Linked DNA regions of Lonchura striata. The protein of the gene in region 2 interacts with the protein of the main gene of each other region in a biochemical or structural test. Links are inferred from orthologs where the notes say so. Each region holds a gene or a part of one and is shown on either strand. Other genes may lie near its edges.

Region 1 (16,784 bases), on a different chromosome or scaffold from region 2:
GCCACAAGTCAAATACAGAATATGCTTTAAAATAGTGGATAAATGAATGGCTATAGCTGCAGCTAAAATAAGGTAGGAGTCAGGCTGGCTTCACAGGGGGGCATATCCACAAACACATTCTGTGTGCTTATATGAGATAGCCATGTTCAGCCTCTGAAACTGATAAGCTGCTGTTTATTAAAAAAAAAATAATAAAAAGGCAGCAAGCCTTTGACTACTTCTGCCCACAGCACATGGCTTTTATTGGAAGATGTGTTTGCACAAAGGGAGGAGTGTTGCCTCCTACACAAATTTCAACAGCCATTTGAACAATTTGGTAAATTGATGAGGATAGAGTCTACATCTATTGTCTGCCTTTCCCCTCCAGTCAGAAGTCAATCACACAGTGAGGAAGCTCTAATCTAAAGGAGAAATCTTCCTTAGGAATCTGCTTTTTAATGAAAACATGGAACATGGTCCCAGCATTACGGACAATCTGAGGGTACACACATACACCCTGATATAAACAAATGAACAAACACCAATATACACCCGAAACAACAACAAAAAAGAGAATAATTCCAGGGAGAATATATAAGCCTAATGCAACAGGAAAGGAAAAAAAAGTGAAATCCACCTCCTGACAAGATAAATGTTATCATCTTCCCTTGCACTGTAAGTGGATGAAGAAGGAACAAGTTGCTTCTTGACCTGTTTTTTGCTTCTGCATAAAAATGAAAGGCCATTTCTTTTAGTACCAATAAAATGCCACCTTTTCTCTAAGTCACTAATTAGCTGACTGGATGAGCAAGGAACAGGTTCAGGTGACTCAAACAGTGACAAGCTGATGCAGAATGATAGCAAGACTCAATCACAACCCAGCACTAATTACAGCTTGTAGCAGACACTATCACTCTGAACACAAAACAAGGATGTTAATAATACAAATCCAGCTGTGCACTTGCACAAAATCCTTGTAAGCTTAATTTTCCAAGACTTAATCTTTCACTACTGCTTTTTAAAAGCTCTCCAATGTACAACTCCAACATTATGATTCAGTGGATTCATGAACAGCATTGTGCCATCTGAATGCCCATTGAAAGAGATGAAATGAATAGTATCAGTTTAGATCATGCAGGGAGAAGACAACCATTTTGGTAATATGGGAATTTAAATTATTGTATATCCACTACTAGCATTCCTGGTTTAGTAAGTACCTGTCCTTGGTATAAGTTGCTTGGGATGTGCTTTAAAACATTAAATATCTTATACTAATACCTAATACTCTGGTATTAGTCAAAGAGTATTTGCACAGAGGGTTGTGCTTGTTAACATAAGCAGAATAAGACAGAGAACACCATCATAATGAGCATCCATCAATATCTCATATGTTTAGAACTGAACATATGAGTTCAGTTCTAAAATATCAATAACTATTATCATCAACAGCCAGAACTTTTCAACTACTAAAACCTGAAAATAAAAACAAAGAAACAAACAAAAACGTACAAGATTGGAGTCACTGACATGTTGTTCGCGCCACAAATAGCCTGAAACATCTCTCCTTGCACCCTTAGATAGCAGTATCAAGTGATGCTAGCCATTATCCTGTCTTGGTACAAAATACCCTGCACTTTGGATCTGCTGATCCCCTCAATAGTTTCAAAATGAAAAGCTTCTCTTCAATCAGAGAAGAGAGAAAGTAGAAATGGGTCAAGTTACACAATGTGAAGTAAATAAGAGTGAAATTACATTATATGACCGAGTCAGTTTACTATTCTGACTTGGGTGGTCCTGCTTTTCCCTCCCAGATCCTTGCCCTGCTGGTCCCACACCCTCTCTTACACCACATCAAACCGCTTGGTAAGCTGATCCAACTTGTTAATCCAACAGAAAACTACTCTCTTGAGCTGACTCACCAAAGGGCTTGACAAGAGTGAAGCCAAGGAGAAAGGCTCTGGAGGGAGCAGAACCACCCTTTCTGGTGGCATCAACTCCACACTGTGTCTTAAATGAACCACAACTGAAGAAAGTGTTGAAGAAAGGCACAAGAGGAGCACTGAAAGCAAACAAGAAAGGCATAGAGTAAGGGCACTGTGTCTTTGGGAAGAATGGAAATGCAAGAATAGACATCACAAAGCCCTTGGGATGTGATAGACACTGAAGGGTGCAGCGGCAGGAGAGCAATAGGACATTGAATCATGTTATGCATCAGAGGGGGGCAAGGGAACACAGGCACTGTCCTGGCAGAAGGAAGAATGGCTAGTGACAGAAAACACAGTACCAGTGAGTCCACCTGGATTGCAGTGGTTCTTTGGAGTTCAAGCTTAGATTGCTTTTGTCTTTGTGCATCTGTAGCCAGGCCTGGCAAAGGTGAGCTCTTTGGGACAGATGTGCTACTTCGATAGTTTTAACAAAACATGAGCTATAATATTGTGTCCCAATTGTTCAAGAAAAGAGGGAGGACACCACTGCTCACACAAAAAACAAACAAAATGAAACCTGTCCCCATTCTTCTCATTAAACTGCCTAATCAAAAAAAAAAAGAACAAAAATCAAACCACTGTTATTTAGGAATACCACCTAGTCCGTCTTATCAGCTCAAAACCTCTCTCATTATTATCTTTTCCTTCCTCACTTAAATTACTGAGACACGTCTCTCATAGCAGCAAATCTCTTAAGTTCACCGTTTTCTTGGAATCTCCCCTACTTGTACAACTGCCTCCCTAAGAAAAAGAGTTTAGGGGTATCAGAAATTGTGCTAGTGATGTGGAGAAAGGGAAAAGATACTGCATCAACTGCATATCCAAAGATAAAATGTCCAAGTTTTTAGCAAATTTGTCTTCATAGTTTTAAGGAACACTTCTTGAGTTCCTCTCTTGAGCTCTGGGTAACTGCTCATGGGTAATCAGAAAAAAAGAAAAAAAAAAAGGTGGAGATTTTGTAACTCATTAAATATCATGGTATATTGCAAGGCATGAGCTGAGGTATTCTCAAGCTTCCCAAACCAAGGGGCAGAGGGCAAACTGTCCCTGCCTACACCCCAGGGCATCCCTGTTCTCTTTTCCAAGTACAAGACCAGGCACTGGCAAAAGTACGAACTACGTGTCTGGCAGCCGAAAGACGAGGAAAGAGAAAATATGATGTGCAATAAATCAGGTACACACAAAATAATCGTGGCAGGTCACATCATCCTAACACTGCTCGGCATTGTTTCCACCTTAATGATCTTTCAGCATGTCACCATGCTGAATCATGATGACAGAGAGGCAGGAAGCAGATATCAGATGCAGAATGAACAGGTCTTTTTGTGATTGTGGTGCTATGAAGCACTGGGCTTTATGTTGGAGTCCTCTGTTCTCACTCTGGAACACCTGTGTGTAGAAAAATCAAGAATAATTTCTGGAGCAGTTCAGATAAATTTGACCTATATACAGATAAAACAGGAATCTCTCTCTTTTTTTTTTGCCCCCAAAACTGCTTATTGCTGTATCAGTGAGTGAATTTCAAATGGGTTTAAAAAATGTTCTTTAAAAGTAATTTTCTGTTCATAACTGGACTTTGAGCACCCTGAGGGCCTGCTGGCTTGCTTAAGTTAGAGGCCAAAAAAATGTACATAATTGTCAATCTTTAGTAAGACAGGGAGTTCTTTTCTAACCAGAGCCAGAAATACTCCCTCTGGAGAAATATCACAAACAATGTGAAAAAAAAGCTTTTGAACTTTCCATGGTACAAAGTTTAAAATGAGGACAAAACTGGAATGAGTTGGTCTTGAGCATTTTCTAAGATATTCTGCATTTCCATAGCTTTACAGATACAGACATCTGGAAGCAAAATTTTCAGTTAAAAAGAAAAGAACCCCATTGTTATTTCACTAGCATAGTTAATTTTCCTTAAACATTAATAAAATTATTACAGTAGACAAAAATTTTAATATGTATAAATATCTCTGGATCAACCCTAACCATATTTTTGGTGTAAAAAAATGGGCTATATTCCCAGATATTAAACTGTATATAATTTCAGACAGATCCAGGGACAGCAAAATCAATTTTAGTTAAACAGCCTGGAGGAATCGCATAATATTAAAGACAGCATTAAACACAAATTTACATAAAGTAATTGAGAATACTCCTTGTAATTTAGTCCAACACTTATAAACACATACAGTGAAAGTTGTTTACTTTTAAACATTAGATCATTATGATATTCAGTGATAAACAACCAACTTGTTCTGGTACTTTAATTTCAGCAAAAAGTTTTAAGGAAACTCTACAATGGCATCAACAAGCACTAAGCAGAATGAAAGATGGTACAGGGTACTGCAGATTATTTTCAGAGCTTTAAGCCAAATTCTCTGTTGGCCCAAGTGCCCTATTGTGGAGTTGCGTTATTCCCCGGCACCCTATGCCACTTCATACTGTGGAAAACACCAAGTTCCTGGCATATCAAAGCCTGGATCTGGAAAAGTTCTGAGACCCCCTCAGTTATGCTGCCCAAATGATTTGAGGGGACCCTGTGTTTGGTCATGTACTTCTCTGTAATGGCTGGCACTAGTCCCACCAGGCAATAACCCCACACCTTTCAGATCACGTCTACTGGGTGATCCTTTCCTTGCTTTGCAGAAACAGGGGCCAGGGGAGGTATCTGGGAGATGAATAAACCATGCTAACCCTTTGAGTACCTCAGGAAAAGAGCGTGCATTCAACAAAGGAGCACTTCCATAGCCTTGTGGATGTACTCTGTACACTTTGTCCTGATTAGAAAGGAAGTGAGTTTAACAGAGAATCCAACTCAGACAAGCAGCTCTCTCCTTTAATTTGGAAAATCTGCAAACCTGTTACAGTTCACTTGCTAGTATGAAAAGCAAGCTTGAAAAATGGCACTGTTGAGACCAGTGAATAATGGTTTAAGTGGAATAGCAGCAGTCAGGCTGAAGAACATGGTGGAGTGGTCTGGGTGGAGGACAGCAAATGCTACAAGCCCCCAGGTTCTGACTTTTAATTATGATGCTGTTGTGGACATGCATCTGTCTCACTGATGCCTGATGCTACCACTGACCTCAGAAGCACATGTAGCTTCCAAAAGGCCTTCTGGCACCAATGAAAAACTTAGCCTGGTCTCCAAGCACTTTTTATCCTATTCACAGCAAAACTACCTCAACATGAGATTACTTTTCATTTAAACTCTGTTTCTAAACTGACTTTGTAACCTTCTATAATCTTGTCACTCTGCATTCCCCTTCTCCCCAGGCTTCAAAGATTCTTTTTTGGTTGCTTATATAATCTCAGTGCTGCAGTACACAAGCTATCTAAAGCATGGTGTAAATGCAGCTATTATTACCACTTAATAAAAACAGAAAAGTTATTCATTGACCAACCTTTTTCCCCTTTCTAATAAACATATCAGATCTAAATGGTGATAAAAAACTATGACCTTGCACTAAGTTTATCCCATAACATCCTCATCATGACTGGTATTTAATTTTAAAGACTTTTCACTGCCTCTGCAAAGCAGTATGTCTCATCATTACTTAGTCAGCAGTAAAGCTCTTTTCCAACATTCACTGACACGGACAAGAAATTAGGAAGTCCCTTCCTCCTCTGTTCTGGCAACCAGCATATTGATCATGTTACTTAGTATACCATATGTTGCTTTTTGTTGTGCTTTGTCCTTACACTTTTAAGGCACAAGCTCTCTGGCAATGAATAGAGTCTTCTATGCTAGGAAAATATTTCTAGCATGTTGCAGACACTATTGTAATATAAATACTCATTGTCTTCCTGAGTTTCCTTACCACCACTGCTCCTCAACACAGCTTTGTCACTGTAAAACAACCTTCATTAAGTTTTGTGTCACTGGTGTAGTGCTGCAATAATAAGGCAAATCCTTCATACTCCCAAAAATGGATTTTATTGAACTTGGTATTTCTGTTGACCATGTTGACCGTGCTGTGAGACAGTATGATGTCGAGACAACCTGAAGTAGCTTTGCACATTAGCAAATGTGAAAACTAAGACCTTTAATTGTATCCCAAAAAAACATGTGGAAAAGAGAGGGAAAGAACATAAGACTTCTGAAGCCAAATTAGCCTGTAAATTAATAACTATCATTAGATTTTAGCCAGGCACCATATTTGTGCCTCGGTCTTTTTCCGAGTTGTTTCATGGTTGGATGATTGAGTTTCAAGTCTGTGACTTTCATCTGCCTTGTGTTTGCTGAAGGAGTACACAACAAATGCAAAAGATCTTTAACTCTTCAGTTTCTATCTGGCAGAATACCACTGTTTGCATTTCTCAAGTTTTTGAAAAGAACAGCCTTAACTCTCTTCTCATTTAGCCCAGTTTAACAATGCTGCAAGTCCAAGGAAATCAGATGAATTAATCTCATCTTAAAGCATGCTAGAGGAATGCCTAAACCAAGTATTTTTGACATACCTCATATACCTATAGTTGAAGGAAAAACTCTCATTAAACATACATTAAAAATCTGTCCACTTCATGCACTAGATTTAAAACTTGGCTTTAATCCACTTCTTTCAGCCCTCACCACAAAGAAATTACTAATCTGGAATTTTGTTTTTAGTTGCCATAGTTTCCAGTTAATTTGCCATCTTTTCTTTTCCTTTGGTTGTGTGGTTCTTTTTAATTCTCCCTTGGAGCTCACTAGTCATATTCACCTTGAAATTTTATCCACTGGGCTTTCATGACCTTGTCCTCTCAGTACTCCTTTAGCCTTTCTAATAATTCACCCCGGTTTTCCTTCTCATTTTTCATGTACGCACCACAAGGCACTTGTAGCCTTGGTACACTTTGTTTCTGCTGCATTCTTCATATAGTACACTTAGTGCCAAACATTCCTCCAAGTCTTCTTGCCATGCCAATCAATCCTACATCCAGTTCTGTAGCAGAGATAAACACTAAACCATTTTAATTGCATACATAAAGTCATGTCACTATAATACAAGTGTATTGCAGTGTAAAACCTCACAAAAGCCTGCGAGAATCAAAAGCATTAGTATTCCTCTTTTACAGTGGCAGAGAACAAATCACTTATCCAATGTCACATGAAGTCCTGTGGCAGCCTCTGTGTTCATTTCACCTTTCTACCTCAAAATCTGTAATATTGGGTCATGTATTTTACCCTTCTTGGGCTTTAGAAAGGATTTTCTTAACTTACAGTGCAGACCAATAGCATGCATCGTGTCTCACCAGCCCAGCCCACAGAGCAGCTATTTGCTGTCAGTTCACCAAATGCTTTCTCTGAGGAGATGGGCAGAACATCCAGTCCAGGAGGAATCATTGCTCTGCCTCACCACACGGCTCTGAAGCACCGACCACCGTGTTGGGCTGTACTGCAGGAAACTCCACTTTCCTAAACCATACCACAAGCAAGCAAAGCCATGATTAATTGGATCAGTGGAAGCTTAAACGTCACCTCAGAGGAGTCCAGATGCCCATGTGGCTTCTGACAACTGACGTGACTGAGCCGAGACCTTTGTCCCTCCACCAGCACTGCTCTGCCAAACGAGTTTCCTTTTGCCTGTCAGGGACTTTGCCATGTTCATCACAGCACAGGCCCCAGCTCCCGGTCTCACCTTGTTTTGGCAGCTACATCACCTAGCTTGTTCTTCCTGCTTTTTGCCTTTTCATTTCTTAATTAGCCTAGCTCCAGCCTTCACTACTACTCCGTTAGGCGGGACACAAGCCACGTGTTAATTTATGTAGGAGACAGCACGTCTCTCCCGCTCCACCAGCTACCCGGCAGGAATATTTTGGGGCCTACGGGAGTGACAAAACCCACTCTAGCCAGGTGCCGCGGCCGCCACCCTGCCTGTCACTCGAGCCGCCGTGCCCAGCTTCCACGTCACCCGCCGCTCCTCGGTGCCCCCGCCTCACCTGCGGCAGGCCCACACCCCACAGGGGCAGCTCGCTACTGGGGTCACGGGCCACCCTCAGACTAGCGACCTGCCCGGCGACGACGGGGCGGCCCCGGCAGCCCAGAGCAGTGACACCGCCCAGCGGCTTCCCCGCTGTCCCCGCCGGGAAGGCCGCACTCGCCACGGCGGGGGGAAGGGCGCCATCCCCCCAGGAGCCCTGCGGCCCCGCGGCCCGTCCGCGGCCCACGACGGTAGCGGTGCTCTCGGCCCCTCACGCAGCGGCGCGGAGGACGCGGCCGGCTCCGAGCCGGCCCCGCCCGCCCGGCCACGCCCGCCTGACGCGCCGGCGGCGCTGGCGGGCTGGAAGTGGCGTACGTGCACAGCGGGCCTCTGGAGTGGCGCCTCCTCCTCCTCGCCCCGGCAGAGCGGCGGAGGCGCGGTGGGGAGAGGCGGCGGCCGCGCCGGCCCGCGCTGCACCGGGCAGAGAGGCCGGCGGGGAGCGGAAGGCAGCCCCGCACCGCGCCACGCCGCTGCCCCTCGGCCGTTCCGCCGCCGGTGGGGCGGCGATGAGGCGGCGCTAGGCAGCGTTAGCGGCGCAGGGAGGGCGGCGCGGGCCCCCGCGCGCCGGAGGAGGCCGCGGGCCGGCGGAGGTGGAGGGCGGCGGGGGCCGCGGCGGAGCCGGAGCCGGGCGGCCATGATGCAGTAAGCGCTCCCTCCCCGCGCGGCCGGGCGGGGGCCCGCGTTAGCGCCGCTCCCGCCCGCCTCCTTACATAACACGACCCGGCGGAGCGGGGCTGCGGCGGCACCACCAGCGCCATGGCGAATGACAGCGGTGGAGGCGCCGGTCAGGGCGGCCAGGGCGAGAGCGGCAGCAGCAGCGGCAGCAGTAGTAGCAGCAGTAGCGAGCGGGACCGGCAGTACTGCGAGCTGTGCGGGAAGATGGAGAACCTGCTGCGGTGCGGGCGCTGCCGCAGCTCCTTCTACTGCAGCAAGGAGCACCAGCGCCAGGACTGGAAGAAGCACAAGCTCATCTGCCGCGGCGGCGGCGCTGCGGCGGCTGGCGCGGCAGGGGGCGCTACCGAGCCCCACGGCGGGCACCCCCCGCCGCCCCGCGCCCACGGCGGGGCCGCGGCGGGCAGCGGCAGCCGGGCGGGGGTCGGGAAGGGCGCAGCGCCGCCGTCCCCGGAGGCCCCCGCCGAGGCCGCCCCGCTGACCAACAATCACGTCGCCGCCGCCGCCGCAGCTGCCGGCGGCGAGGCGGAGGCACCGGCCGCGGCCCCGTCCCCGTCGCCCTCCGGGGATGCAGTGCTGCTGTACCGGGACAAGTCGAACCTGTACCCGGGCGGCGTGCAGGCGGGGCCCGCTGGGGCCGCGCTGCGCCCCAACGGGCAGACCAAGTCGCTGGTGCCGCAGCGGCTGGCGCTGGAGTACATCGTGCCCTGCATGAACAAGCACGGCATCTGCGTGGTGGACGACTTCCTCGGCAAGGAGCTGGGCGGGCTGGTGGCCGAGGAGGTGCGGGCCCTCCACCACACCGGCCGCTTCACCGACGGGCAGCTGGTCAGCCAGAAGAGCGACTCTTCCAAGGACATTCGCGGCGACAAGATCACCTGGGTGGAGGGCAAGGAGCCGGGCTGCCAGACCATTCGGCTCCTCATGAACAGCATGGACGATCTCATCCGACACTGTAATGGAAAGCTGGGCAACTACAAAATCAACGGCAGGACGAAAGTGAGTGCGGGAGGGCGGGAGCTGGGACCCCCGATGCCCGGCCTCCCCTGCTCCTGCTGCCAGGGGGTTGTGGCGGCGGGAGCGGGGCCGCGGAGCCGCGGAGCCGGCGCTTCCCGGCTGCGGGCGTGTGTGCGCGCACGTGTGCGGCTGTCCGGGGGGCTGCGTGCGTGTGCGCACGTCCGTCCGGCTGTCTGTCTGTCCGTGCGGGTGCCTGTGTGGGGCTGTGCTGTGCGTGTGTGCGCCCGCTGCCGCTCCGCTCCCCGGAGCCGACTCGTGCTTCCGAGTCGTGTCCAGTTCTGAGCTCCTCAAGATCAGAATGAAGCTGCTGCCTTTCTCTAGAGGGTCACAAAGATGATTAGGGGTTTGGAGCATCTCTATCATGAAGAGAGACTGCGGGAGCTGAGCCCTTTTAGTCTAGTGAAAAGAGGATAGAGGGGATCTCATTAATGTATGTAAATATCTCAGAGGTTGATGTTAAAAACACGGTGCCAGACTCTTCAGTGTTGCCCAGTGACAGGACAAGTAGCGGTGGCCGTAAACTAAAGCACAAGAAGAAGAACTTCTTGACAAGAAGAACTTCTTTACGTGTAGGGTGGCAGAGCACTGGAACAGGCTGCCCGGGGAAGTCGTGAAGTCTCTTATCTGGAAGCATTCAAAACTCGCCTGGACGCCTTCCTGTGTCACCTGCTCGAGGTGACCCTGCCTGGGCAGGAGGGTTGGACTGGATGATCTCCAGAGGTCATTTCCAACCCTAACAATTCTGTTCTCACGCCCGGTCGTGGCGGGACCCCTAGCCCCAGCGGGTTTGGGCCGCAGCCTCGGCGGGTGGGCTGCTGTCCCCTTGACCCAGAAGTCTATCCGCTAGGTGATGAGTATTGAAATGGGAGTTCTTTCGTGGTCTCCCGAAAAACGGGGTAACAGTGATCTGACGGGTTGTGGGAAGCAGGGGGCTGGCTGCGAGGTGTCCCGGCAGCGGTGCTGGCTGAGCCTGGATCCACTAGTGCATAGTGTTTTTGGGCTCTCATGAATGTGCTGGGTTTTGGTAAACCTTGGCTCAGGATGTGGCCTGCCAGGTGCAGAACTTAAAAATGTGGTCAGGAGACCGGCAACAGTGAGTGAGTGCACCGGTGGCACAATAAACCCGTGAATTACAGCGAGGCACTCTGGCAAATGGTGTTGTGGCAGGCAGTGGAATCACAGCCATTGAGCAGGGCGGCTTTGGGCAGTGTTTTTATTTTACTCTCATTAAGTCACTTTTCCACAAAAATCTTACTCTATAGCTCTATTTCAAGACCAGAGAACTAAGTAAAAATCTCCCATTGTATTAGCCTAATTTGTGATTCCCTTCCAGTCCTTTAAATAAAATTCATGCCCTTGGTAGAGAGCTAGTAATGAATATTCATCAGTATCTTTTCAGTTTAATAAAAAAAAAGAAGAGGGGTAAAGCCCCTTCAGACTTTGCTACCTCTGTTAAAGCATAAGGAAGCGAGTGAAATGGTAGGAGTCATCCTGCCGAGGTGGTTGCACTGTCACAGATGGACTGTTGTTGCTGCAGCTGCAGAATCTCAGCTGGTAGGAAGCTGCGGGAGGGAGGGAGGAAGGGAGAAACTGGAGGGCAAAAAACAGCCCTGGATTTGTTCAGGGCACGGGAAACTCCCGTGATAAAGAAAAAAGGGTGGGATTTTTTTTTTTTTTCTTAATGCTGTCCTTGCATTTCTTCAGTTGAACCAGTACTGTGCTAAAACATTTAAATGGGAACGTGGTATAGAGTCCTCATAGATTCCTGCAGGATTTTTCTAAGCCAATTTCTCTTTCAGGCAGTGTTAAAGCTCTTCAAGGCTCTTCAACTTGCACTCTAAAAATATCAGTGGTTTTGCTGGATTTCAGTTTTATCCAGCAGAAAGGAATACTTACTCTGTTTTTATGAACAGTGGTATGCTTCTGTAAAGAATAGATGCCAAGGCTTTTGGAGTTGTAATCCTCAGTCAGGCCTGTAATTCCTGAACTACTGTATTTTATGTTCCTGCTTGGTTTTAGAAAGCCCTCTGTATGGGGGATCAGAACAGGTGCAGGGATCAGATCAGTAAAAGCACAATGCTTTATTCCTTGGTGGCACAGAAATGCATTACCTTGTCTTCTCATTTTCCCTTGCTTATTTCCCTGCAAAAATCAGTGCTTTTAGTGTGCAGGAAAGCTCAGTCCTCTAAAATGCCAGTAAAAGCAGAATGAAAACTGTCATTCACTCTCAAAGATTTATCTCAGAGTTGAGTAAACAGAAGGAGACGATACCCAGAGTATCACTTCAAATAACTTGTATTGTAACCATATAACTTGTAACCCATGGGTGGTGTTGGCATTGAACCTGCCCTCTCACTTCTTTGGCAAATGTCTGTTGAAATGCCCGTCAACTGTCTAGAAGCAGTGTATGAAAAAGCAAGAAGAAATGGATCTGGGGTATATATACCCTGAATCTCTTGTCTTGTAAACCTGCCTGTCAGTGAAAATCTATGTTGTGTTAATAGGATCTAATTCAAACATTTACATTCACCAGGGCCAGTCCATTAAGGCAAAGAACATGAAATAAGGTAAAATGTTGGTTGTGACTTGAGATTTTATATTTTAAAGTCTCTGATAGATGCTTTCTCTAGGTTACCAGGGCCACCTAGAACTGGTATACATAAACTGATGTGGTTCTACCTATTCCTGAGTGTCAGCAAATTACTCTCCAGCCTGAAAGATATCTATACAGCACTAGTTATAAACTAGCCAGGTAACTTTGAGATGTGTGGAGACAGCAGCAAGTATAAGAGAATGGCTAACTAATTTTGTTTTAGAGTGGCTAACTATTTACTCATCTTGGAAGTCCTGACTTACTGCATTCCTTGCTTTTGTTCTTTCTTTCCAGACTCTGCTTCCTTCTTTTCTTTAGCAGACAGTGGCACATACTTGCATATTTGAGCTCTTGTCTTTCTCCTACTTCCTGTTATTTTCTAGTTTTTACTTCTTTCATCTTTTCATAAATTCTCTTTTTTTTCCTTGATCTTATCAGTTGCCACATTTGTACATGCATGTATTTCTGTTTCTTGCCTGTCCTGTTCTTACATGACTAGTGGAGGTAAAAGCCTGCTCATCAAAATCGGGGAAAGAAATCATCCTAAATCTCACCCAGGTGAGATGTTTTTTCCTCCTTTCCCATATGGAGCATGAAGAAGGGGTTAAGGGTAGCAGCAGGTTTATGATTTTTTTTTGTTAGCTTTCTCTTTCCCCTGTTGTGGACTCTGCTGATCTGAGGCATACATCCTTTACTGGTCCTGGAGTAATACTGCGACTTCCCAGTTGTGGACTGGGTTCCTAGTAATCATATAACCAGACACGTGATCCATCAGCTATTCTGCTTTCTGCTCACCATTACACCCAGTACCAGCCCTCTCTTAAGCCCTACCCTCTGCCTTTTGTTAGAAGGACATTAAAATAGACAGTTTGACAGGCCGTCTTGCATCCCTTTAGTTTTTCTTTCATTCCTACTTCTAGAAACCTGTCAGGAGACTAATCCTGTTCATATTGCTGCATTTTAATGCTCTCCTCTCTCTAGTAGTAGGCTAGTGGCAACCCACTGCTTCTCAGCCACCTGTAGCTTAAAAAATTGTTTTACTTGTTACATATCATGCAAACTTTCTTTTCTGCATTTTCTGGCAATTGCTAATCTCTTACTCTGGAGATCCTGGAGTTTTCTGAAGACCTAGGGGACTCTGGGTTCAGACTAGTCCGACTGTGCCCTATTAAATTAGATTCTTTCAAAGTTAGTAATGCTTCTTTAGAAAGTAATTCTCCAAGAGTGAGTGGGTTTCTCATACCCTGCGGTTAGCTTTTTTATAAACTGGACAGAAGAGGCTCTCTACTCTTGACACTTGCAGCTTTTCTACAAACATGTTGGATTAATGTTACCAAGGAAAATTAAGATTTATGGGTGTTCTTTCCACTATATCTTATTCTACAAAATATAACTTTAAGCATGTGTGGCAATAAGAAGACAAATGAAAAATAAGAGGGAATAAGAACTTGGCAACCAAGCAGGTACTGGAAAGTGATGATGATACCAAAACTCTGGTAGAAGAAAGGAGAGGGATCACAGGGGCAGGTGTGCAGCTGGGGTAAGTCCTCCTCTTGTTGAAGGACCCAAGAGCTGTGACTGGAGATCTGGGATTAGGAATGTCTGTAAAGTGGGAGGCTTTCCTTCAGTTTGCCTGTGTCATGTGTGATTACATTGATCCTCCTGTATCATTCTGGAGATCATTTCACTATCACACCTTGAATTTATTTCTTGGTAGAAAACTTACTGATCTGATTGGTTCCTAGTGAATGACCTCATGTACAGCTTGGAATTTGCCACTGAATTGTGGGAAAATGTGGGTAGGTCTCTCCGTCTCCAGTACTCGCTTGTGTTGCTTCACCTTGATACAGAATATGACCAGTGCTTGTCCTTATCTGTTGGTTGTTTCCCTGACAGCAGCTTCTGTTGGTGATGTTGTTTTCTTGTAGATGAGTTTGCTGTCTTCGAAGGATTGTGTGGTGATCCGTGGATACACAACAGCCCACACACCATTCTTAAATCCCTGTTAGAGTAGAGCCCTGACATGTGAGGACTATAGTTTTGATTTGCTATTCCTCATGTACAAGCCTTTTGGGTCCCAGATGAAGCAGATGATCAGGGGAGTGACTGGGGTTATTCCTGCAAATGATCATTTGATGGAGAAGCATAGCAGCATCCAGAAAATACTCTTGTTCACAGCCAACTTTAGAATTGCTGAGATTCTGACAGGTTCTCCTACTAGAGAAAATTAGATGTGCTGGTTTCTGAGGGGCAGCTGTGTGGTGACCGCAACTTTGAAGTGTGGTATGAATTCCAAGGGTGGGGTGCACCACCTGTGACTGCTAGGACTTCTCCACACCCTTGTGTGTTAGGCTGTAGTTCAATGAACATTCTGGGCTGGCAGTGCTGGAGGAGTATTCATTCTTCTTTGCCAGCACAAGTATTTACATGGCCATCCTGTGAACTGGTTTTGGGGAACTGATCCATCTGAAAAATAAACTGGCAAAAGAAGTGCTCCTGGTTCAGTGTTCGGATGTTTGTGCTGGCACAGAGGACTGGCAGATGGTGAGACTTTCTTTCAGCAGCAATGTAAATTTATGCCAGTTTAAAGTGTTTGCCAAACTACAGCCTTAGTTTAGCACTTGAGTCTGATTCTCCCAAATTTTGCCCTTGAAAATTTAAACATAGTTTAAGAAATCTTCACTAGCTATGTAATTTTTTTCTTTCTTTTTTTGCTCTTACGTGCTCAGTGTGAGGCTCAGTTCTTGCCATCAGAAACACATACTTCTGTCCTCCAAGAATCTTTCTTACAACAATTTTATACAGAAACTTTGCTCATCTACCCACCAGGTGATCCCACATAACATGTACAGTGGAACATGTATCTTCTCCAAATGAAAACTGATTTTCACACACTCCTAGCTTCAAAATCAATCTTCTCTTAAGCTTATTGGCTGTTCCTATCCCTTATTCTAGAGTTTTATTAGCATCAAAGATGTTCTTGACCTCTGTTTCAAGAGAGCTGGATTCATGTCATCTGCCATGAACAGTGTGCTGCAGCTTGCTTCTGTTTGCTGCTGTTGAGGAGGGTCCCTGCTCAGCCCCATCCCCTTATGCCAGCTCTAGTGCTTGTTTTTCTTGCTTTTCCAAGCCATTTTTGACTGTAACTAGAGTTCACATTTTGTAGTTGTTACTGTTCTGGAGATAAGGAACCTGTGGCATTATAGTTTGTACTCATCAGTGATTTTGGTACACTATGGATAATTAATTTTTTCCTGCCAGTGATATTAATGATTTTTTGACTATGTTGCTTCTTTGATGTTCTATGCTGTCTCTTCTGCAAGGATTGGGCTCATTTAATACTGCCTAAAAATTAAGTGGGATGCTTCTCATCATAGCTGTACAGCTTGAGAGGAAGAGCTGTCTTCCCTTCCCTGTGGCCTCTTGGACTGAAATGCTTTGCAGGTGATGTCCTGCCAAGTCATAGGACTGTCTGAACGGCAGTTCTCAGATCCCTGGGTTAGTTGTATCAGTAACCTTGACTGGTTGTTGAGAGATGTTTTCCTTTTTGTCTAAATGGTGCTTAATTTCTGATTAGGCTGCTAGCTATTTCCTGAAAAAATAAATTTACAGCATATTATTTTCTTCTGTGATATTTACCATGTTCATTTGATTTGTAATTCAGTTGGATAGCCTGTCTTGATTCATATCTGATGGCTCATGGCTAAAACAGGCTAGGTTGCTATTGGAATTTTGCAGGATGCTGTCTTTCTGGTTGCTTCTGTGTTGTTCTGTACTGTTCTGCTAGTACATATGTTTGTATGTCTAGGTATGTACATAGTGTACTTGCAATTTAAAGGAAGGCTTTCTCCTGCAGCAGAAAGGAAACTTTTTTTTAAAAGGGAAACAGATACTCTATATCAAGCAAAAATTTCTTCTTGCCTATCCAGAATAGTTTGTCTTTAGACTCCTTAGAGAGCTCTTGTACAAAGACAGCACTTTTTTCAGTTCTAAAATTAATTTTGGGACTGGTGTGAGTGGATTGGTTAGTGAAGTCTTCAGCAGGACACTCGTGGGGCTCCCTAGCTCTTGTGCTGCTGTATTTTGTTACTTTTCAGTGGGGGAGTGACTGCAGACAATGCAAGGACTGTACAAGTGTTTTTTGGAAATCAGCATACTCAGATTATATAAATTCAAGTTCTTTATTCATTGGCATGTTTTTTACACTTCACTAAGAAAACAGTATTTTGAAAGCAGTATTTTTAATGAATAAAACAGTAGAGTTATTTGACTTTGCAGTTACTACTGAGTGAAATAATCATTATTTATTATATCCTTTTTGTCTTCTGCATTTGTGACTTCCTTAGACTCTTCAGAAGGAGCACTAACGCTAGTCTTTGAGGAATTTTGAAAAAGTAATTTGCTGCTGATTAAATCCTTGTAAACTCTTTTTAGTTTCTGAAGGTTGTTGGTTAAGATGGGTGGTCAGGCATATTTCCAGTGCAGGCTTGTGCCAGAATTAGCTGGTAAGTGGCAGTCGTAAGCTTCAGGTCAAAATCCACTCACTGTTCCAGGGCAGCGTCTGTCAAAAATAGAGCAATGCTT
Region 2 (14,478 bases):
GGGGCTGGGGGCTGAGCCCCTGATGGCAGGGAGCTGCCCGGGGGTCCCCGCTCTGCTGGCAGCTCCCTGCCCACAGCTGCACCCGCCCGTGCCAGGAGGGATGTGGGGAACGCCGGGGAGAGATCCGGCACCGCCGGCAGAGAAAGCTCCTGGGGCGGCGAGGGGTGGCAGAACCTCGGGGCAGCCCCTGGGCACGGAGAGGCAGGAGCTGGCACCGGCCCTGTGCCGAGGGGCCGCCCCGGTGCCACCCTCAGTTCCTGGCCGCGATGACCACGGACAAAGCCACGCCGCCCAGCGCGATGGCCGTCGCGCCGAAGAGCCACTTCCAGGGGATGGACTGCGGAGCAGAGCACGGGGACGTGAGGGGCCGTGCCCGTGGCAGGGCACACGTGCCACCCCGCCCGGCCGGCCCGCTGGACGGGACGTCCCAAAAAGGCAGCGCTGGGGACGGCGTGTGCCGCCAGCTGACGGCGCTTCCCGACGACGGACGGGCAGCTGGGAGCGAAGTCCAGAGCCCGCAGCTGGCACGGCCGGGATCCGGCGGGCACGGCCAGCAGCACAGGCTGTTATCAGGGATGTTTTCCGGGCACGGCTCCCGGAGCTCGGCCCCCTGCTCCCAGCGGGATCGCTGTCCTGGCAGCCCGGCCACATCCTGCTCAGCAGCAGGGCTGTGTCCCTCCTGCGGGGCCTGGGGGACACTCACACACCCGCTGTGGACCCCCACCCCCGAGAGCCTTACCCAGGGCAGTTTGTCTTTGCACTTCCCGGGGGTGCCGGCGGTGCTGGGGTTCCCCAGCATCTTCCTGTACATCTCTGTCTCCACGTTCCTCTGGTCCGCGTGCTTCTTCACCAGCTTGGAGAGCTCGGCGTGGATGGTCTGGGGAGGACAGCGTGCTGTTATCAGCCCTGCAGCATCCCTGCCTGCCAGGAAGGGGACCTGTCCCCAACAGCACGTTCCACCACCCCTGGGATATGCAGGAAAAGCTCCGAAAGGGCTGAGGGGGTGACGGGGCCTCATCCTGCCCCATGCCCAACGCCGTGGGGCTGCACCAGGGGACACCCTGTGGGTCCAGTGACCCTCTGTCCTTTCTGGCTGCTCAAGCCACTCCCTGCCTGGCAGCCGGGAGCAGAGCCCAGGGCTGATGCCAGACATCAGGAAAGGGATTTTATCCTTTCATCGAGACAGGAAAGTGTCTGCCTCGAGGACAGACATGCACCAGCTCTCCCACTTTCTGTCTGGAAGCAGGCTGGGAAAGCGGGCTTAAAACTCAGCCTGGTGTGAAGTGGGATTGCAGCAGGACCTGCAGCGTGTCCACATCTGCCCTGCTGGGGCAGGACAAGGCTCCCAGTCCTGCGTGGGGCCCACAGGCTCCCCAAAAGCAGCAGGAAGCACCTCGGAGCTGAGCAGGGCAGGGTGGCAGAAGGACGTGGTGGTGGTGGCCCTGGTGGCACAGCCACGCTGTGCCCTCTGCTGGGGGACACATCCCCAGCACGCCGGCTCTGCCAGCCCGTGCCACGCCGGGAAAAGCTGCCTCCAACACGAAAACCTGGGTGTCAGGAGGACAGAACGCTCCTGCTCAGAGCTCCCCGGGGCTGTCACATCAGCCTCACACAACCACCAGCACCCCCAGAACACTTCCAAGGGCTCAGGAGAAGGGATGTCTGTGAGCGCCTCGCAGCAGGGCAGGTGGAGCCCAGCGTTGCTGGAGTGTTTTCAGCACCGGTAGCTGCGGCCCCTGAGTCACCCACGCCTGCCTGGAGCCCGGGCAGCAGCCGGGGAGGGCAGTAATTTGCTGTCCTTGTGGTTTCGCTGGACACGTCACTGCCGGGCATTCGGATTTTCCAGCCCTCTCCAATTAGAAGCTCCATCGGAACTGGGGAGCAGCCGCCCTGCCCAGGGACGTGCCAGGGGAATGGTTCCCAGTGCTGCTCCCTCTCCACCCTGACCTTGATGGCAAAGGAAGGGTTTGGGGTCCTGCTCGCCCTTCCAAGGGTGCTCAGACCGCCCCTGAAGGTGCTGTGGGGCCACCAGGCACCTGCTTGTGCCACATCTCAGCCGTGACCTTCAGGGACTGGATTGTGACATGTATCCTGATGGTCTGGTGGACCTCCCAAGAAAGAAATGGACACAAGAGATCCAGGCGAGGATTAAAGCCCATCTGGAGAGCCAAGACCCCCAGGATGACCCTGTGCAGGCAATACCTCCCTGCCTCCTCCCAGTCTCGCTCCTGCTGGGGTCATTTCCTGGCACTGGTGTTTGATTTCTCCCGAGGCTCCAGTCCTGCAGCTGATCATTAACTGACAGGAAATTCCTGACCCAGAGCTCGCCCTGCCCGGGTGCTGGACTGAGCTCTGGCTGCTCCCAGCAGCCAGTGATTCACTCTTGGGGCTGCTCAGCGAGTTTGTGGGGACTCAGCTCTGCTCCACTTCCCCCAGCCACAGCACAAAGTGCCCGAGCCACCTGGGGCAGCCTGGACCCTCCCTGGGGCATGGCTGGAGCACGGATGGGCTGGCAGGGATTCCTGTCACCAGCAGGACCAAAGGTCAACGGGGAACCTCTCACCGTGGAGATAAGGCTAGAGACCAGCCCAGCCACACTCCACGTGATGCTTCCATCACTCCCCAGGCTCTGGGGGCTATTCCCAGCCTCCCTCCACGGAGCTGGGGACAGCTCCAGGGAGTCTCAGCCTCCCAGGGGCAACGCTGATTTTGTAGGGACGCAGACAATGGAGAAGCAGCATGCAGGAGATGCCCAGCTCAGGGGGATCACGGGCAGCACACACCTCCAGCCTACCTTGTTTGAAGGCTCCAGCTTCAAGGCTGCCTTCAGGATGGGAATGGCCTCTCTGTACTCCCCCTGCTGAGCCAGCACCTGCAGGGTGACACGCGGGTGGAGGAGCAGGGCTGAGCCGCCCCTCAGCCCCCGCCACGCCGCGCACAAGGGTCCCCTCCTCACCTTCCCCTTCCGGAACAGAGCCTTGATGTTGCCCGGCTGGTGCTCCAGCACCAGGTTACAGGACTTGAGAGCTGCCTTGAAATGGTCCAACTTCAGCTGCGAGGCCGCCAGGTTGTTGAGACACTTCACCTTCACGTCCAGCAGCTCGGCCTCCTCGTCCGGGCTGAAATCCACTGCACACACCCCGAGGCCGGGTTAGAGCAGAGCCAGGAGCCCAGCGACCCTCTCCTGGTGGGGACAAGCTACCTTTGGAGCTGGAGCCCGCGATCCTGAGGGCGATGTCGTAGGAGTTGATGGCCAGCACATAGTCTGCCTGCTGGTAGAAGAAGTTGCCACGCTCCCGCTTGCGGTTGGCCAGCTGGATCTTCTCCTTGCCGCTGAGCAGCTCCAGGTCCGGCGCGTCCCGAGCCGCCAGCAGCTCCACCTCCAGCCTCAGCGACGCGTTGGGGGGGATGTCAGGGCTCCTGCACAAAGCCACGGGGCCATTGTCACCTCTCTCAGGTGCCGGGCTGGGTGGATTCGGCACCGTGGCTCAGCAATCCGAGCCAGGGAAGGTTCCTGGGGCAGGGAATGATGGGGATCGTTCGGCTCCAGGGAGGACACGCTGCTCGTGAGGAAGCAGAGGTTGGACAGCTGGGCTGTCACCAGGGGAGCAGGGGACAGCTTCTCCAGCCCTGGTTTGGGAGCGCCCTGCCAGCTCTCACCTGCCCTGAGCTCCGTAGCAGTACTTGGCTTCTGACACAATCAAAGCCGTCTCGCCCATCTCCAGGAGCTGCACGCACAGGTCCAGAGCCTGCAGGGGACAACAGAAGGGACTGTGAAGGTTCTCCAGTTCCAACCTCCCGTCACGGTTGGACCTTTACATCTTCCACAAGACCAGGTGGCTCCAAACCCCCTCTAACTCAGCCAACATCGCAGGGAAGGAGCATGAGAAAGGGCAGAAGGGCCGCTTATGTCCACCAAAGGGATGTCACCGACCCCAACCCTCCCTGTGGCCCCCGAGGTGAGGTCCTGCTCCCAGGTGAGGTGCTCACCTGCAGGACGTCGCAGTCCCCCAGCGTGAAGGTGAGGGCAGGGTCCTCTTCCACCACGGTGCCATCCTCCAGCGTGGCCTTCAGGCGGATTGTCACGTCCTGGCCCTTTTGGGGACGGCTGTCCGCGCCCTGGCCCGGCACCAGCGTCTTCTTCTTGAGCAAACCATTCCCTGCGCACAGAGAGAGCGAAGCACATCGCGGGGAGGGCAAAGCCCGGCGGCCCCCACCCTCCTGCGCCTCCCGCCCGGCCCTGGCGGCGGCGGCAGCCCCGGGGGAGCCCCGGCACCGAGCAGCGTCCGCTCTCACCCAGAACATCGAGCCACTCCTCGGGGTCCCCGGCCGCGCCCCCCGCGCCCCGCTCCGGGGGCTGCGCGTCCTCCCGCGGCGGGGCCGCCGGCCGCCCCACGGCCTCCAGCGGCGGCAGCTCGCTCAGGTCATCCTCCTCCTCCTCCTCCTCCTCCTCTTCCAGCACCTCGAAATCCTCCGCCGTGTCCAGCTGAGCCGCGTCCGCCGCCGGCTCGGTGCCGGTGCCCGCCCGGCCCGGGGAGCCGCTCCTCGCTTCTTCCCCGCTGGACGCCATGGCGGCGGAGCGACCTGGAGCGGGGGAGAGAGAGCACAGGGATGGAGCCTGCTCTTACCGGCAGAGCCGCTCCGCCGCTCCGGACAGCACCGGGACCCTCCGGGGCCGGGGGATGCGCAACGGGACAGCGGAGACTCCGGAGCGCGGGGAAGGATGGGGCCTGGCGGGGGGCTGTCCCGGTGGGATGGGGTCTGTCCCGGTGGTGGGGGGGTCTGTCCCGGTGGGACCGGGGGTCGCGGTCCCGGTGCCGTGGGGGGGGGCGGCCCCGCGCCCCCCGCCCGCCCCACGTGACCGCCGCGCGCCCCCCGCCGCTCCCACCTGGCCCGCGGACGCGCGGGCGCAGGCCCCGCCCCCCCGCTCCTATTGGCCCGGCTCCGCCCACCGCGCCACGCCATTGGGCGGGGAGCACGCCCGTCAGCCACGCGCCCGCGGCGCCCCCCGACGCCTTAAAGGGGCCGCCACCAGCGCGGCCGCCCCGGCGCGGCGGGGCCGAGGGCGCGGCACCGGCACCGGTACCGGAGAGGCTCCGTGATGCCCGCGGGGGTCGCGTCCCTCCCGCCCGGCCGCTCTCCGGCACTTCCGGCTCGGCGCGGTGACGGCGCGGGGTCGCGCCCCACGTGACTGCACACCCGGAAGCGGCGCTGCCGCCCCCGGTACCGGGACCGCTCCCGTCATGTGAAGCGGCGGGACGGGCTCCCGCAGGTGCGCGGGCACTGCCGGGAGGAGGCCCCGGGGACACCAGTGGGAGCTCAGGCACCCGTGTTCCCGAGGGAGCCCGGGGCTGGCGGCGCTACCGGCACCGGCGGGCGGCCAGCGGATCCCGTTACCGGCGAGCGGGGCCGCCCCGGGAGGCGGCACGGCGGCGGGGTGCCCGCTGCTGGGTGCACGGCAGGGCGGAGGGGGTCCCGCTGTCACGGAGGGGAAGGGGAGGGGGGGGGTCTCCGTTACCGGTGCGGGGAGCGCGGGGGGCTCCGGTGCCCCCGGTTGAGCCGGTCCCGCGGTCCCGCAGGCCACGATGGAGCCCACGGCCTCGCAGGTGTTCTGCGGGAGGGTGCTGGGCATGGTGAACGCCGAGGACGTCAACGCCATCATCCTAGCCCAGAAAAACATGTGAGTCCCGGGGGGAGCGGGCGGTGGGAGTGCCGGTACCGGCACCGGGAGCTTTGCCGAGCTCCCGGTGCCTCCCCCGCGCAGGTTGGATCGGTTTGAGAAGACCAACGAGATGCTGCTCAACTTCAACAACCTTTCCAGCGTGCGCATGCAGCAGATGAGCGAGCGCTTCCTGCACCACACCCGGACCCTGGTGGAGATGAAGAAGGACCTGGACAGCATCTTCCGGAGGATCCGGTGCGAAACCGGGGATACCGGCCCGGGAGGTGGCCTGGGGGGGCTGGCGGGGCGTTACAGCGGGGCACAGGTCAGAGTCTGGGGGGCTGTGAGAAGAAAAATCTGCTGCGGAAGGGAAAATACACGATGGAGTGACACGTGGAGGTTGGAGCTTTGGGTTTCCATGATCCTGCTCGGGATGGGATTGGGGTGGGATGGGCTTTAAGGTCCTTCCAAGCACTCTGGGAGTCCCTGGTTCCATGAACGAGGTGACACCATGGTGTGAAGATGTCACCAGGAGGTCCCTGAGGGATCCAGGAGAGCTGGAGAGGGACTGGGGATGAGGGATGGAGGAACAGGACACGGGGATGGGGGGATATGGGGAAGGGATCGTTCCCTGTGGGAACTGGAGGTCGGGCTGGAGGAGGGAAGCTCCAGGGACACCTTGAAGCCACTTCCAGAGCCTGAAGGGGCTCCAGGAGAGCTGGAGAGGGATTTGGGACAAGGACTGGAATCCCAGCACAGGGAATGGCTTCAAAGTGGGAAGGGGAATCTGGGTGGGATATTGGGAAGGAATATCCCACCTCCAGGCTGGGATGGAATTCCCAGAGAATCTGTGACCATTCCTGGAAGTGCCCAAGGGGGTCTGGAGCACCCTGGGACACTGGAAGGTGTCCCTCCCTCTGGGACCTTTAAGATTGACGGTGGGATGGAATTCCCAGAGAAGCTGTGACCATCCCTGGCAGTGCCCAAGGGGGTTTGGAGCACCCTGGGACACTGGAAGGTGTCCCTGCCATGGGTGGGATGGGCTGGGATGGGCTGGGATGGGATGGGATGGGCTCTGCTTGGGATGGTCACAGAACGTGGGATTCAGAAACAGCCCGTGTGCTGGGAAGGGTGGGATGGGCTCTTCTGGGGGTTTGGGGTGGGAATCCCTCAGCCTCGGGGTTCGTGTGCACTGCCCACAGCGCTGGGAGCTGTGGGGCAGCTCGGCTCCGGCTCCCTCCGCTCCCCACGGACTCGGATTGTTCTCTCCTCCCCAGGGCGCTCAAAGGGAAGTTGGCAAAGCAGTACCCAGAGGCTTTCAGCAGTGAGTGATTCCTGACGTGCAGATTCATGGGTTGGGCTGGGAGGGACCTCAAAGCCCGTCTGGTGCCACCCCTGCCGTGGCAGGGACACCTTCCCCTGCCCCAGGCTGCTCCAAGCCCCATCCAACCTGGCCTTGGGCACTTCAGGGATCCAGGGGCAGCCACAGCTGTGCCAGGGCCTGCCCACCCTCCCAGGGAGGAATTCCATCCCAAAATCCCATCCATCCCTGCCTCTGGCAGTGGGAAGCCATTCCCTTTGTCCTGGAACTCCACTCTCTGTTTTATTCCTGTGGGAGCAGTTTCTGTTCCCAAGAACATCTCTCAGGAGTCACAAGTCCATGTGCTGGCATGTAGCTGCTTCCCTAAAAATCAAAAAAACCCTCCTTAATTCCATTAAATCCAGCTGCAAGAAATCACAAACAACCCCTAATTTACGTGCTGGTGATTCTCCGGGTATTTTTTAATCCCTGCTCCCAGCACGATGGGAGAACTGCTCTCCCCACCACCAACCTTTACCTCCCTCTCCCCTCTCAGACATCCACGAGTCCCCCATCCTGGAGGACGACGACGACTTCGACCCCGTCCCCAAGAGCACCACGACCACCATCGCTACCTCGGAGCAGAGCACGGAGTCCTGTGACACCAGCCCCGACGTCATCTCCCCTGCCACCAGCCAGGATTTTGAGGATTTATCCCAAGGCCACTACGACGGCCCGGCCGTGAACGGACAGAGTCTGACAGACGAGGACACGGCCAGCGGCCTGGGCTAGGAGCCACGTCCCACCCCGGAGAACTTTCTATCCTCTATTTATAGCTGTGTGTCGCTCTTTTGGGTTTGCTTTTTTGCTTTTGGTTATTTTTTTTTTTTTTTTTTTTTGGTTTTCCTCGGGAAGAGGGAAGCGAAACTGGGAGAAGCTGAGGGAGGAAGGCGCTGCCCTTCTGCCTGGAAACTGCGGCTGGGGTGGAAAGCCAGCGCTGGCTTCAGGGGAATCAGTAAATCCTGGTTGGAAATGCCTCTTGTCCTCCCTCGTTCCTGCGCTCAGGAGAGCGGCTACGCTTTCATCTGCATAGATTTTTTGGTGCAGAAAAGCCGTTTTTGGGGCACAGGTGTTTAGGTTTTGTAGGAAATGCTGCCTCTGAGGCTCTGTGTGCCCAGCAGCTGTGCCAGGGGCCTGTCCCTGCTGCTGATGGACTTGTGCTGGCTGAGTTCTCCACTGCTGGGATGAGCCAGAGCCGCGTTTGCTTCTCAAACTCACAGTGCTGCTGGTTGCTCCACAGGCACCTCCCAGGAACAGGAGCTGTCCAGATCTTTCTTTTCCACCAGCACTGCGGTGTGATGCAGGAACTGCTGGGGTTGGGGGTCCTGAAGGCCTGGGTGGGGATGAGGGAAGAGTTGGGGGCTGCAGGAGTGGGTTTTGCAGCTGATCCTGGAGCTGCAGCTGTGGGAGCCACCATGGGGTTGTGGAGCCAGCATGGGATGGTTCTGGGGCTGTGGGGCCGGTCTGGGATCCGTGGGGTCAGTGTGGGCCAGTCCCCGGGGCTGTGGGCACTGTTAAATTTGGGGGTCAGTCCCCAGGGCTGTGGGCAGTGTTAAATTTGGGGGTCAGTCCCCGGGGCTGTGGGCACTGTTAAATTTGGGGGTCAGTCCCAGGGGGGTCAGTCCTGGGTCCATGTGGTCAGGGTTGATCTGGTCCCAGATCCGTGCAGAACCTCCGGTGCCCCGTCCCGCGGTGCCGGTGTCACCCCGGCAGTGACAGAGGCGTCCCGGGACGGTACCGGGGCTGTCCCGGGGCGGTGCCGGTGTCCCCGCCGGAGGTGCCGGGGCGGTACCGGGGTGGTACCAGGGCGGTCCCGGGCGGTCCCGGGGCGGTGCCGGTGTCCCCGCCGGAGGTGCCGGGGCGGTCCCGGGGCGGTGCCGGTGTCCCCGCCGGAGGTGACGGGGCGGTACCGGGGTGGTACCGGGGCGGTACCGGGGCGGTCCCGGGGCGGTGCCGGTGTCCCCGCCGGAGGTGCCGGGGCGGTACCGGGGCTGGGCGGTGCCGGTGTCACCCCGGCAGTGACAGAGGTGTCCCGGGGCGGTCCCGGGGCGGTGCCGGTGTCCCCGCCGGAGGTGACGGGGCGGTACCGGGGTGGTACCAGGGCGGTCCCGGGGCGGTGCCGGTGTCCCCGCCGGAGGTGCCGGGGCGGTCCCGGGGCGGTCCCGGGGCGGTACCGGTGTCCCCGCCGGAGGTGCCGGGGCGGTACCGGGGTGGTACCAGGGCGGTCCCGGGGCGGTACCGGTGTCCCCGCCGGAGGTGACGCCGCCGCCGTTCCGGTCCCGCCTCCCTTTCCCTGAGCAGCGCGGCCGCGGGTGCGCGCGGTGCGGGACCGGAGCGGGCCCGGGGCACGGCTGGGGCCCGGGATCCCGGCAGGGGGACCGGGATCCGGGAGCGGGGAGCGGGGGCTGGATCCCGGCAGGGGCCCTGGGTCCCCGGGGACGGGACTGGATCCTGCGGGAGGGCCCCGAAACCCGGGATGGGGGCTGGATCCCCGGATGGGGGCTGGATCCCGGGATGGGGGCTGGATCCCGGGATGGGGGGCTGGATCCCGGGAGAGCGGGGCGGATCCGGGCACAGCGGGGCTGGATCCGGGGATGGGGGGCTGGATCCCGGGATGGGGGGCTGGATCCCGGGAGAGCGGGGCGGATCCGGGCACAGCGGGGCTGGATCCGGGGATGGGGGCTGGATCCCGGGATGGGGGCTGGATCCCGGGAGAGCGGGGCCGATCCCGGGAGAGCGGGGCTGGATCCCGGGATGGGGGCTGGATCCCGGGATGGGGGCTGGATCCCGGGAGAGCGGGGCGGATCCCGGGAGAGCGGGGCCGATCCCGGGAGAGCGGGGCCGATCCCGGGATGGGGGCTGGATCCCGGGATGGGGGCCGGATCCCGGGAGAGCGGGGCCGATCCCGGGATGGGGGGCTGGATCCCGGGATGGGGGCCGGATCCCGGGAGAGCGGGGCCGATCCCGGGATGGGGGCTGGATCCCGGGATGGGGGCTGGATCCCGGCACAGCGGGGCGGATCCGGGCATAGCGGGGCTGAATCCCGGGATGGGGGTTAGATCCCGGGATGGGGGTTAGATCCCGGGATGGGGGCTGAATCCCGGGATGGGGGCTGGATCCCGGGATCGGGGCTGGATCCCGGGATGGGGCGCTCGGGAACGGGGCTTTGGGAGGGTTGGAGCGGCCGGGGAGCGGCGGGGCCGGCCCGGGGTGACGCGGCCGCCGCTGCCGCAGGTGAGAAGGTGCCGAGATGCAGATCTTCGTGAAGACCCTGACGGGCAAAACCATCACCCTCGAGGTGGAGCCCAATGACACCATCGAGAACGTGAAAGCCAAGATCCAGGACAAGGAAGGTAGTGGCGGGGCCGGCGGCAGCGGGGTGGCCCCGCGGGGGTCCCCCGGTGTCCCCAGCACGGTGCTCGTGTCCCGCAGGGATCCCCCCCGACCAGCAGCGCCTGATCTTCGCGGGGAAGCAGCTGGAGGACGGCCGCACCCTCGCAGACTACAACATCCAGAAAGGTGCTCCCCGCACCCCGGGGCTTTTTCGGGGGGGCGTTTTTGAGGTGCCAGCCTCTCCTTTTGCCCCGGTGTGACGCCGATGTCTCCTGGCAGAGTCCACCCTGCACCTGGTGCTGCGCCTGCGAGGGGGAATCATCGAACCCTCCCTGCGCCAGCTGGCCCAGAAGTACAACTGCGACAAGATGATCTGCCGCAAGTACGTCCCCGTGTCCCCTCCCCTGTCCCCTCAGCCCCTTCCTGCAGCCCCCCGCGGTCCCAGAGCCCCTCCCCAGGGCTCTGCTGACCTGTCCCCCCCAGGTGCTACGCCCGCCTGCACCCCCGCGCCGTCAACTGCCGCAAGAAGAAGTGCGGGCACACCAACAACCTGCGCCCCAAGAAGAAGGTCAAGTAGAGCCTCCAGCCCTTGCCTGCGCTGGCTAATAAAGAATTGCAATCCTCAGCCCCGTTTTCTGGTGGTTTTTTTACCCAAATCGTGGTTTTCAGTACAGCGGGGGCTGTACTGGAGCAGCACAGAGGGTGGGGAGGGACGGAGGTGGTGGTGCTGGTGGCAGTGTGTGCACGGACTGGGCCGGCACTGGGACCCCCCGTGCCCACCCGTGGGGACCCCGGCACTGTGCACACAGCAGATGGACACTGGGACGTGGCCGGGGACTGGACCCTGTTCGTGCAGCCCCAGCCACGGGGGTGACTGTCCCCAGCACCCCTGCACGCCCCTGCCGTGCACTGGGAGCCTCTGGTCACCACAGCTGGGTCTGCACGGGCACCGGGACCCCCCTAACCACCCCTGGGACCCCCCTAACCACCCCTGGGACCCCCGGCCAGGCGTGCATGGGACCGGCTCGGTCCTGGGCTCTCCCCGTTACGCTGCAAACGCACCGGGAGCCCCCGGCCGCGTGTCCAGGGACGGGCACCGGGACGGGTACCGGGACGGGTACCGGGACCCCCTGTTCGCGGAGCCCCCGCTGCATGCCGCTAGGCGTCACCGGGACCCGGCCGCGCGCTCCCGGCACGGGCGGCCCCGGTACCGGGGACGGGGCTGGCGGCGCTGCCGGTCGGTGCCTGCAGGTGGCGGCGGAACCGCGCTCCGCCCCGCGGGCCCCGGGCCTGCGCCGTGCGGCCGGGCCGGGCCGGGCCATGGTGAGCGGCACCGGGAGCGCGACGGGAACGGGAGGGGCGGCACCGGGAGCGCGACGGGAACGGGAGGGGCGGCACCGGGAACGGGACGGGAACGGGAGGGGCGGCACCGGGAACGGGACGGGAACGGGAGGGGCGGCACCGGGAGCGCGACGGGAACGGGAGGGGCGACACCGGGAACGGGACGGGAACGGGAGGGGCGGCACCGGGACCGAGCGGGTCGGTGCGCGCGTGGGCACGGCAGGCTCGTGGGTGCGGGGTCCCGGTGCGGGGTCCGGTGTGAACCGGGGATCCCGGTGCCGCTCCGTGGACACGTGGCCGGGGGGCTCCCGGTGCGTTTGCAGCGGGCTGGGGACATCCCGGCGCCGGGGAGGTCCCGGTGCCCGTGCGGGTTGTGTGAGCATGGCCGGGGATGCCGGTACCGGTCCGGTAGAGGGGGGTCCCGATGCGCACATGGACGGGACGGGGGTTCCGGTGCCCGTCGGTATCGCGGACACGTGTCTGGGGGATCCCGGTGTTAGTTCGGTTCCTATATGAGCGGCCTGGGGGCCCGGTGGGTGGGCACGGGGATACGAGGGGTCCCGGTGCGTGACGGGCGGGTCCCGGTGCCGGTGCTGGGCTCAGCTCAAGCACCGCGGCCGGAACCCACCGGGACCCCCAGGACCAGGTGCTGGGCGAGTTCGCGTTGCCCCGGCACTGGGGTGATCCCTCTGGGCGGCACCGGCACTGCCCGGAGCCCGTTACCGGCTCACGGTGCCCGTTACCGGCTCACCGGTGGCCGTTACCGGCTCACCGGTGCCGCCCCGTCCCCTTCTGTCCCGCAGACGGGCGAGGCCGTGCGGGAGCTGCTGCAGCGGCTGCGGGCGCTGCAGAGCGAGCGGGTCGAGACGTACCGGCTCTTCGAGGAGTGAGTACCGGCACCGGCACCGGCACCGGCACCGGGCGGGGACGGGCTCCCGGGGGGCGGCACCCACCGGGACGGGCGGGACACGCGGCACCTCCCGGAGCGGGGCACCCCCAGCAGGGAACCGGATTCCCCATCGCGATTATTTTGCATCCTGTTGGGACGGGGCCACGGGGAGGGCTGATGAGCTCCAGCTGGCAGCGGGACTCTGCGCTGGACACCTGAATCCTATTTTAGCATCCAGCAGATGATGGACTTGTTGGGATGCAGGGCTGAGAGTGTAAAGGATGAAAAAAACCCAAACCCCCAACTTTCCCCCCCCCCAAAAAAAATCAGTTTCCAACCCTGTCCCGTGTGAGGGATGAGGCTGCCTGCTCATGCTGCCCAATCCAGGCAGGAGCAGGCAGGAGAACCCTCCCGGTGCTGCCCGTGGCGGGTGGCAAAGGGGGCTGAGCTCCGGGAGCTCCCAGGTGTGTGGTGACAGTGACAGTGGCTTCTCCCCCCGACCCGTCCGCAGGGGCCACCGGGCATACCTGAGCAGTGGCCCCCGCTATGACTTCCCGCGGTACCGGCAGCTGGTGCACGAGGTCACCGTGGCCTTCAGCGGCATCTCCCGGGAGGTGCTGGCCATCGCCGGGCGCCTGCGGGACGAGCTCGGCCGCCCCGAGCTGGCCCAGCACCTGGCCCGGCTCCAGGAGCGGGAGCAGGAGAAGCTGCAGCTGGTGGGTGCTGGGCTGGGGGGGCTCCCCGGGCCAGTGCTGGGGCTGGTTTCGGGGGGTCTCAGCTCCCGTGGTGTCCCCCCCGCAGACGGCGCAGCTGCAGCTGGCCCAGCAGCAGGCACAGGACCAGCCCGAGGTGGACGCCCATCGGCAGGAGGTGCAGGAGCTCAAGCACAAGTAGGTGGTGGCTTTGCTGCTGTCCCCCCTCATTTTGGGAAGGCAGCACCCCCCTAGGCTAGAACCTCCATTGCCATCCCCTTCTCCCCTCGTTTTGGGGTGGCACCTCCTCCCCAGCCCGCTCAATGCTGGAGTGTCCCGAGTTGGAAGGGACGCGCACGGATCGTGGAGCCCAGGCCAGGAGCCCCTTCCCTGCCTTTCCCTGCCTTTCCCTGCCTTTCCCCGCCCTCCCTGCGGCCCAGGGGGGCCCAGATGGTGCCTTCGGGGTCTGGCGGCGCTGCGTGGCCGCGTCCCCTCGGCCTCCCCAGGCTGAGTGTTTCATAAACAGCGCGGGGAAGGCGAGGCGGCCCACATAATACGCTCCATATGGGCTTTATTTATAGTTTCCATCCGCTCTCGTAGGCTAATTAAAACCATTGAGGCAATCAGCGAAATTCTCCAGGACCTGAAGTACGATTCAGAAGAAGTTGAGTGATGGGTGTCCCCGTGGGAACGGCTGGAGGGGCCGGGCTGGTGGAACAGGGGCCCCGCTCATCCCCCACCCACTCCCGGTGCACCTTGGCAAGGTGGGCATTGTCCTCTGCGCCCCTTTTCTGGGGCACAGGCTGGAAGGGGTGGGGAAGCCCCCTCTGGGACAAGTGGGCTCCCCCTAAATCCTGAGTATCCCTCAGCAGAGGGGTCCGGCGTGGGGCTGGTTCCCCTCCCCGGCAGTGCCAGGGCTGTGCCAAAGGCAAACCACACCCTGCAGTGCCACGGGGCTGCCGTGCTTGGCCCCCATCGAGCTGGGCACCATCCCTGCTGCCAGCTGGAGTCCCATGGGCAGCAGCCCCCCAAAACCACATCTTGGAGACTGGCTGTGCCCCCAGCCCCACTGCAGCTCCGGTGCTCCACAAACGCTTTTTCTAGGGTCACCCCAAATAAACCTGTCCCCACGGAGCTGGCCTGAGTGGTGTGATCCCAAGGGTTTGCGTGGCCCCCGTTGCTCCAGTGCCACCCCCTCCAG

The links.
Region 1: the proteins of FKBP8 (region 2) and EGLN1 form a complex in vitro, tested with the Homo sapiens proteins (2 studies listed by BioGRID, with this or other methods). The link is inferred for Lonchura striata from reciprocal best matches to the Homo sapiens genes FKBP8 and EGLN1.

What each region holds. Positions count from the first base shown.
Region 1 is NC_134605.1:43,656,354-43,673,137, reverse strand, and holds the start of EGLN1 (egl nine homolog 1), read left to right. Parts: upstream 1-8,544; 5' UTR 8,545-8,674; coding exon 8,675-9,589; intron 9,590-16,784. UniProt on the Homo sapiens protein: Cellular oxygen sensor that catalyzes, under normoxic conditions, the post-translational formation of 4-hydroxyproline in hypoxia-inducible factor (HIF) alpha proteins.
Region 2 is NC_134630.1:7,139,255-7,153,732, forward strand, and holds the start of FKBP8 (peptidyl-prolyl cis-trans isomerase FKBP8), read right to left. Parts: upstream 5,171-14,478; 5' UTR 5,087-5,170; intron 4,585-5,086; 5' UTR 4,571-4,584; coding exon 4,297-4,570; intron 4,161-4,296; coding exon 3,991-4,160; intron 3,750-3,990; coding exon 3,661-3,749; intron 3,421-3,660; coding exon 3,203-3,420; intron 3,130-3,202; coding exon 2,957-3,129; intron 2,873-2,956; coding exon 2,795-2,872; intron 878-2,794; coding exon 740-877; intron 338-739; coding exon 251-337; 3' UTR 1-250. Other genes in the region: KXD1 (kxDL motif-containing protein 1), read left to right, coding at 5,586-5,680, 5,765-5,917, 6,940-6,986, 7,519-7,754; UBA52 (ubiquitin-ribosomal protein eL40 fusion protein), read left to right, coding at 10,273-10,375, 10,455-10,541, 10,635-10,737, 10,839-10,932; REX1BD (required for excision 1-B domain-containing protein), read left to right, coding at 11,676-11,678, 12,500-12,582, 13,097-13,301, 13,387-13,475, 13,878-13,950. UniProt on the Homo sapiens protein: Constitutively inactive PPiase, which becomes active when bound to calmodulin and calcium. Seems to act as a chaperone for BCL2, targets it to the mitochondria and modulates its phosphorylation state.